2 linked regions of the Nothobranchius furzeri genome follow. The protein of the gene in region 1 interacts with the protein of each later gene in a pairwise test. Links are inferred from orthologs where the notes say so. Each region holds a gene or a part of one and is shown on either strand. Other genes may lie near its edges. The genes, in order: polr3c and polr3glb.

Region 1 (4,298 bases):
CTATAAAATTACATTAAATCTTGTTAAAACTAGTATCTTCTACCAAGTATTCATTAGGGCTAGTGTGTAGGTCACAAAGTGCACCTAGTGCTGCTTTGACTTCACAAATGAAACTAAACATTAAGTCCATGAAAAATCCCCGAACTCGTCATTCCAACAGTATATTTGACCAGAAACAAACACTGAAAACAAAACTAGTCCACTGTCTCTCAGCTGAGTTTTAAATATGTCGTCTTGGCTTTAATGGTCCAGACAATCCGTGTTCAGGTCTTGTTCGGTGGAAAATACGCTCACAACACATTCACAGTGGGAAACCTGAAGCTTCGGGCCCTGAGTTTTGACACAATTACGCGTAGACACACGAATAGAACAAAACTTGACAGTGTCAAGTTTATAACCCAGCGTTTACCTCAAGTAAAAACAAATTAGGCACCGTTTAATTCAGAGAGTTAACAGCAACAACCGTTGCTAGCTGTTAACAAGCTAGCGGCGGTTTAGCTGTAGCAGACAGGCGAAACTAACTGCTATTGGTCGAGCAGCGGTGTTGTCAGTCGCGCACGATGTGGAATATATCACACATGACTAACCAAAAACACCGGACTTACCGGGAGTTTAGGATTTACTTCTCCCTTACAACAGTGACAGAAAAACCGATGCGGGGGAACAGGCGCGGCCTCCGCCATCTTCCCCAAGCAGCACAACTAGTGACGTTGGTCCTTTACAACCAAAAGACACTTTATGGCAAGCCGGTTCATCATATAATAAGTGATAATTCTGATATTTATCATATGCATTTTCATATCCTCCAAAATGATTATAAGTTGTTTTAAAACGTTTAATAATAAAAACGTCTTTATGATAGCAGTAAATCATATGAAAATTTAAAATATTTCAGAGTTACCACGGTATTCAAGACCTTGAAATCTGCACATTGTTCTCTAGTGGGAATTCCAGTTTTGAGAAACAAATTATTATTCTAACAAAAGTTGTTCGACAGCAAAGTACGTTTAGATTTTTTAAACCGGAAACTAAATTTCTATGGGAATTTGTTTGTCCTAACATTTGGGAAAGGTATTTGAGATTCTTGAAATGTTGATTTTGAATAGGTGAAATATACCTTTTGAAATACATGGAAGGAACTGCAGATGTTTACTGATGAATACTGACTTCACCCAGTGTGATTGTGTACCTCTTACTTTTTGTCTAACTTATTAACACGTCGAGCGCTTGAAATTTCAGTTGTTTATTCTGATAACTAAAAATGCAATTCATGAACAAATTTTTTTTTATTTAAATTCCAAATGAAAAAAATGGGATGTGGTTAATTATATGCTACAACAACTTGCCTGAACCAAACGATCTCCAGCTCGACAGGGGGCGCTGCACTGCAGCCAAATCCTGGAGGGAAGACCCAGAGAGCGGAAGTGTCTTTTTTACCGGAAGTGTCTGTGTGTTGTGATGGAAGAGACGCATGTGTAAAAAGTCGATGCATGAAGGCAACAGCTACGTTTGCTCCGAAACCCATCTGCAATAAAAGGTTCGTGAAAAAAATAAGTTACGTGTATTTATTTTTCCTAATTCTTTACTTTCAGGTGAGCTAGCCGCTAGTAGCTTGTAAGCTAATCCACTTAATACAACTTTAGCTTCACTGGTGTGGACATTAATCAGAGACGCTTAAAACATAATTAACATTTAATATTAGATGAAGTTTACATGTTGTCTTTTGTTTTATGGTGCTTTAGTGTTTTTTTAACCGAAACATCACAGTTTAAAGATGCTAGTGATTGATTTGTGATGCTTTAAGTGTACTAGTGTTTTAGTGTCCTGTCAAAAAAGTAAATATAATTTATAAAATACAATAAAATGACTTTATTCTTGCAATAGGTTAATTTCTGTTAAGATGTTGATAATAAATCATACTAATTTACCTATTTAAGCCAACCACATACACAATATTCAGTACTTTCCTCACAACTTGGTACAGTCATTTTGTCATTTAATTAGTTTGTTTATTTTGATCAACTGTTGGTTCATATTACACTGATTATTTTGTTTTCAATCTGTTTCATGAAAAGCATCTTTTATAAAATGTTCTGCTAATCTGGTGCTGCTTCCGTGGGTTTTATTATCGTGATATAGGTGATGTCATCTAATTTACTGTTTTGCTTCATCTACAATAAAATACAGGAATTCTTCTACAAAACCTGTAACATAAATAAAACCAGTTTACTTCCATCCATCCATTTTCATCCGCTTATCTGGAGTCGGGTGGCTGGGGCTGTAGCCTAAGTCGAGAGGTCCAAACTTCCCTCTCCCCAGCCACTTGGGCCAGCTCCTCCGGGGGAATCCCAAGGCGTTCCCTGGCCAGGTGAGAGACATAGTCCCTCCACCGTGTCCTGGGTCTACCTTTAGGCCTCCTCCCAGTTGGACGTGCCCGGGAAACCTCACCAGGGAGGCGTCCAGGAGGCATCCTGACCAGATGCCCAAGCCACCTCAACTGGCTCCTCTCGATGTGGAGGAACAGCGGGTCTACTCCGAGCCCCTCCCGGATGACCGAGCTTCTCACCCTATCTCTAAGGGAGAGCCCAGCCACTCTTTGGAGAAAACTCATTTCGGCCGCTTGTATCCGTGATCTCGTTCTTTCGGTCACTACCCAAAGCTCATGACCATAGGTGAGGGTAGGAACGTAGATCGACCGGTAAATCGAGAACTTCGCCTTCCGACTCAGCTCTCTCTTCACCACGACAGACCGGTACAACGCCCGCATCACTGCAGACGCAGCACCAATCTGCCTATCGATCTCACGCTCCAGCTTTCCCTCACTCGTGAACAAGACCCCGAGATACTTAAATTCCTCCACTTGGGGCAGGACCTCATCCCTGACCCGTTTACTTGTGGATCTTATTTATATTGTATGTTTTTGCAGATGACAGCCCAGGAGGTACGACTGTGTGGTCTTCTGATGCGAGAGCATTTCGGGGAGGTGGTGGAGAAAGTGGGAACACACCTGCTCAGAAGTGGTGGCCAACATTTACGAGCCATTGTTCATGAAACTGGAGTCTCAGCGGACCTGGTACAAATGACAAGCTTCTTTCTGCTGGTTAATACTGAGAATATATTTGCTTAGCAGCTAATTGTTGGTGGTGATGTATTTTAGATAAGTAGAGTTGATTTATTGGACAGTTTTACACTATAAATGATTTTTAATCACACAGTACAGATGCTGCTTTTGCCTTTGTTTTTAAAGGTAAAGAAGTCTTTATGCGTGCTTATGCATCACGGAGCGTGTTCGTTCATCTCTGGTCGAAAGGGACCCGGCAGCCCCCCAGAGTATCAGGCAAGCTGCGATTGCATTCTGAGGATTCTGCGATACCCACGTTACATCTACACCTCTAAAACCTTGTACGGTGACACCGGAGAGCTGATCGTTGAGGAGCTGCTTCAGAGGGGTCACATGACGATGAGCGGCACGGTCAAGACAGTCGCTGACCGCCTCAGTCAGAACATGGAGGGTCAGCGTCTGATTTTAAAAAGACAAAAATCTGGATTTGATTTTGAATGTTTTTCAGGTTTCAGTAGGATTTATATTACGTGACATCAAGTGTCTATGTTGTTCTTACAGATGGGCAGAGCGTTGATTACAGCGAAGTGTCGTCTGTCTTTTCTAAACTGGTGGAGACGCATTTCCTGCAGCGCTGCCCTCCGTTGGACGGAGCAGGAATGACAGCCAGCAGCACTCAAGCCGGCCCCAATCCCACTGCAGCCGCCTCCAGCTCCACCCTGCCCAACCCAGAGAGCTTCTCCGAGTGCTATAAGGTGCCTCATGTGACCCTCGTCGGGCGGGGAAAGCGCCAGCTCGCCACCGAGGAGGGAGAAGAGCAAAGGAGCGCAAAAAGAGCCAAAATGGAGCCAGAAGTCGGGAACAACTCTCTTTTTTCACCTATTTATTCATTCCAACATTTCTCTGTTTCTGCTTTTATCATCATCACACACGGTTGGTGTTTTTGTGCAGACTCATGGTGACGAGGGGATCTACTGGCAGGTGAACTTTACGCGGTTTCATCAGCACTTCAGAGACCAGGTGATCATCAGTGCCGTGGCCAGTAAACTGGATCAGGTCAGGCTTCCTCTTCAGGACTAAAAATACGAGTGAATAAAAAAAAAAAAAGAGTTGAACGTGCCTACAAAACGCTTATTCATTCTCCTGGATGACTAAAATGTTTTATGTTGTTTCTGTGTGTTTAGAGAGAACTGTCAGTCATCAAAACTGGATAAAAAAAATCAATAATCAACAGTAA
Region 2 (4,487 bases), about 19 Mb from region 1:
TTCGCAGCGCTTTCGCTGCTCGGGCCTAATGAGAAACACTGGAAAGAGTAGGAGAGAGGAGGTGATCATTGCTAGACTAAGGTTTGGACATACTGGGTTAAACAATACATTATTCATGATAGGGAAACATAATACAGGGAAATGTGATTATTGTGGAGAAGACGAAACTATAGATCATGTTATATTACACTGTCACTAAGTTCACACTCTTAGTCAGATGAAAGTGAAACTGGATCTTGTTGATTTATTGAGACAGAATTCAAAAAGTGACTGTTATCAGATTTTATTTCGGTTTTTGAAAGAGATAAGGGTGTTTGGGAGACTTTGAGTCTTAACCCCCTGTTTGGTTTGGTTATGTGAGCGCTGTTCCAGACCACACTCCACACTAGTTGGTGGCGGTAATGCACCATTCATTGTTTGCCAACCACCAATAAAACACCAAAAGAAGAAGAAGAACTTAGACGGCGCGAAGCCGGATGTAAACAGACAGTTCGGTCTGGTCCAAAACAAGACGGAACCGTGGAGACGTGAATGTTCCTCAGGTTCTAACGAGATGAATTGTCGCTTTAGAGGCGAGACGACGCTTAGTGACCCCTAAAACGGAACGATCCCGGAAGAGCCGTCGCTGGACCGTGTCAGACAAAGCCAACCGGGTCACCGAGAGCTACTCGTCGTTTTGATGAACTGCGTGGGGGCGTGTATTCTCAGCCGGGTGAGATAATCTGGAGCAGAACCTATTGAAGGTCCAGTCTAGTTCAGGACCAGCCCAATGACCAGAACCCTGGCGTTCTGTATTGGTTCTGTTTGTATGGTATTATTGGACCTGGGGATTCTGGAGAGGTTAAAGGATCAATTATATAGAAAAGCTGTTATGAATCTTTGGTTTTCTCCGATAGGGGGCCATGTTGACCCAGACAACAGGAACAAGCTGGACACCAAGCTCTACCAGAACTATTGGTGGTCCGGAATGAAAGACGCTGGCTTCAAGTAGGAAGAGAATCCAACGGACGGAAGTCTGGACAAGGACTTTCTTTAGTAGGTTTCAGTTTAGCATCCTCCTCCTGCTCCAGACTTCCTGTCACACATCAGCTAACATCTCTTCGATCTCAGACGTGCATCCTCTCCATGATGCTCCACAACCTTCATCACATTTGGTCACTTGTCTCCACATCTCTGCTAACATTCAGCCTTCTTGTTCTGTCAGAATCCAGATTCAGCACCACGTCTGACCGGGCTGCAGAGGGTCTTCTTCATTGGATCTGGCAGGCTAGATGCTGATGGGTCAGCACCTATTCCCACTCACAGTCTGCCCTTACACCCCTACGACAGTCCGTCATCACCAACAAAGTCCTCAAACTGAAAACAGACACACCAAGGGCCCCCAAGAGAGGACCACTCTCTCCTGCATATCGCCAGCAATGCTGAAGAACATATCTCACACTCTCCAACTCTCCACAGTCACAGTTACCATCCGGGTGCTCCCCTAATAAAAAACAACCCACCCCGCAGACAACTGTGGCCCAGCGTTAACCGGGTCAAGACCAAAGGGTCCCTCCTCTCACAAGCGAGGGCCAGCCTATGACCACTCACCACCACTACAGGTCATAAAAATCCCTACCCACATCCGCCACAGAGGGTCCGTTCATGTTCTGGTTCTGGTCTGCTTTAGAGAGGCAATAGAGATGGCAGGTCGTGGGCGTGGCCACAGGATGATGAGTTTCAGTGTGGATGCAGTCGGCATCAGAGAATCTCTTCCTCCAACTATTCACCAGCCTACACCTGTGTTTCCAGTAAGCTCCACCCCACTACACCTGAACCCAGTCACACCTGGAGTTTAGGTCACGTGTGGCTTTATTTTGAGCAGACATTGTGTATTTATTTTTTTTGGCATCAAGTGCATTCTGGGATTTGCAGTTTAATGTTTTCCAGGTGATGGAGCAGAAGCCCCTGCCTCTAACAGGTGGAGAAGAGGCAGAGTATTTGTTGGCTCTGAAACAGGACTGCAGGGGAGCCATGAGGAGTCTTCCATGCTTTATCCAACCAGCAGTGGCACAAAGAGGTGAGACCAACAATCACCACTTAACTGCTTATCAGATGTAACTGCTCTCTTATTGTGAAGTTCTCCTCTGCACTTCCTGTCAGATGTGGAGCGATACTCAGATAAATATCACATCAGTGAACAGACTGACAGGCTGAAGGACTGGGTTGTAGGTGAGACCATGAATGCTAATATCTGTAACCACAGTAACCAAGAGAACCCAATGTGATGTGTTGATCAGGAGTAATGCTGATTAGTCGTTTCAGATTGGAAGAGATTCCCCAGAGAACTGCGAGTCCACGTCAGGAAAGCACCCGGTGATGGTCAGTAATCTGATTACTCTCAGTAATTTGAGCCAGGTTGTGTTAGCTGCTGGTAAAATGTGTTTTTGTTAAGGTGCGCTGCTCAGCTGCCGGGACAGCGGTCAGCAGATACAGAAGAAGAAGAAGAAGGTCAGAGAGGAGATCCTTCTGAAGCTGGAGGTGAGTTGGACTGGTCTGGGAAACAGGTCACAGGTAAAATAACGTATTCCAGATCTGTCAGACTCACCTGTGGAGCAGGTGTCTCAGCCACCTGCTGTCCTACCATACCGATGACGTGACCTGTGTGTGTCATACTTGCAGACGCTGGAGAAGAAGGAGGAGCAGGAGAGCTCTGAGGGGGAAGGAGAGATGGAGAAGAAGCAGGATGAGGGTGCTGAGGCTGAGGAGGATTACGATGAGGAAGAGTTTGAAGAGGTGAGGTGACACCCGGTGTGGGTGTGGCAGGGATTAAAGTTCTCCGTCGGGGTGACGGAAATCCGTCAGTTGGAATAGTCAGAAAAAAGTGCTGTCAAAATCCTCTCTCTCTCTCTCTCTCTCTCTCTCTCTCTCTCTCTCTCTCTCTCGCTCTCTCTCTCTCTCTCTCTCTCTCTCTCTCTCTCTCTCTCTCTCTCTCTCTCTCTCTGGAATGTGGTAACAAGCAAGTACGGGGGCGGTTGTGTCATCCGTCTCACTTTTGATTTGCCAGTGATAGACCGCGAGGGTAACTTTAACCGGTTTGCTGGCAGCAAGGTAAAAATAAACCTTTTCCGTGTTTTCAAGAAGAACCAACAATGCAGTTAGAAAAGCAACACAGCAAGAACATACCAAAGAGGAGCGTTTATAGACCCTTTTACTGTTTGTAAACAATATGACGTCAGCGAGAATGCTCGCGCAGCTTGGCAACAGAGAATGGCGTTGTGTCAGGCTTTATCAAGCTACGCTGCGGGGTTATCACCGGCAAATCTTGAATGTTATATTATTAAACTCACTTTAACGAATGGCAACAGACTCCCGGATCCCTGTGGCATTACGGAATGGGTGGAAGATGTAGGTGCGTGGCCAGATATCCAGTGGCCCGATATATATACGTTTTTAGTGGAGAGGCCCAGTAAGTACACACGTGAGAAGCTACGGGCATACAAATCGTTAGATGCATACAACTATGTTGTCTGTGGCCACGTACAGAAAGTAAAATATCACGACATAGACTCTGAGTTTTGCGTCTTGAAGGCAGAAGTCCTTCCTAGCCAAAGACAAGGACACAAGACTGCTATGTACGAGGCTTGGGTCATAGTAAACAAACGAGAGAACTACGTCTTCACAGCCAACTGTACCTGCATGGCAGGGTGAGTATAGCTTAGGTTTCTTTTTTTTTAGCGTGCTCAGAGTACAATCGTGTTAATTTTAGAGAAATACAGTTTATACTAATATGCAGTGGGAAAATACAGATGAATTAGAATGAAATGTTAATTAAAAAATAAATAGACTGCTTAAAAGCAAACCAGCAAGCGCAACTTACTTTATTTAATAGAACACACGTTAACCAGCTTTCTGGTGTAATCTTAGTACATAATTACCTTACCTGATATAAAATGGGCGCTACAAACTCGAGCATTTCGGATCGTGTTTTCAGTCCAGTTTTCATCAACCCTTTTGATGGCCTGCAGCCACAGACACCTCCGATTTTGTTGAAATGGATGTGCTCCCTTCGGAATTCTGTAAAGTTTCAGTCCACTACTTGGAGAGAAGCGATTCTGGCATCCATACACGCAACAACCCGACATTTTATGTGCTCAGAACTTCAAAACAAAGGGTTTAAAACACTGCTTTAGTATCGAGTGTGAATGAGGAAGCCTTCACTCTCGTTGCCAGGCTGCGCTCGCAACTTTTGATGACGTAGGTAGTAAAAGGGTCTATTGGGTACAGAATTCTGACCCGTTCTGGCTGAACAGGGCGGGGACATAGCTGGGTAGCAGGTTTAAAAAGTAACTGGTCTCACTGTGAGTACTGGTCTCTAACTGATCGGTTTGTCCTGCAGGAGACGGATTACATCATGTCCTACTTTGAGAATGGAGAGGACTTTGGAGGAGACAGTGATGACAACATGGACGAGGCTATTTACTGAAATTTCGTCCTGCTACTGGACT

What was found.
Region 2: the proteins of polr3c (region 1) and polr3glb interact in binary tests that used the Homo sapiens proteins (3 or more experiments, as listed by UniProt). The link is inferred for Nothobranchius furzeri from reciprocal best matches to the Homo sapiens genes POLR3C and POLR3GL.

Annotation. Positions count from the first base shown.
Region 1 is NC_091745.1:77,810,967-77,815,264, reverse strand, and holds the start of polr3c (DNA-directed RNA polymerase III subunit RPC3), read left to right. Parts: upstream 1-1,409; 5' UTR 1,410-1,537; intron 1,538-2,926; coding exon 2,927-3,073; intron 3,074-3,247; coding exon 3,248-3,512; intron 3,513-3,622; coding exon 3,623-3,915; intron 3,916-4,012; coding exon 4,013-4,117; intron 4,118-4,298. Other genes in the region: rnf115a (E3 ubiquitin-protein ligase RNF115), read right to left, coding at 606-683. UniProt on the Homo sapiens protein: DNA-dependent RNA polymerase catalyzes the transcription of DNA into RNA using the four ribonucleoside triphosphates as substrates.
Region 2 is NC_091745.1:58,816,355-58,820,841, forward strand, and holds the start of polr3glb (DNA-directed RNA polymerase III subunit RPC7-like), read left to right. Parts: upstream 1-1,492; 5' UTR 1,493-1,682; coding exon 1,683-1,790; intron 1,791-1,929; coding exon 1,930-2,059; intron 2,060-2,142; coding exon 2,143-2,211; intron 2,212-2,295; coding exon 2,296-2,361; intron 2,362-2,434; coding exon 2,435-2,520; intron 2,521-2,661; coding exon 2,662-2,775; intron 2,776-4,378; coding exon 4,379-4,465; 3' UTR 4,466-4,487. UniProt on the Homo sapiens protein: DNA-dependent RNA polymerase catalyzes the transcription of DNA into RNA using the four ribonucleoside triphosphates as substrates. Specific peripheric component of RNA polymerase III which synthesizes small RNAs, such as 5S rRNA and tRNAs.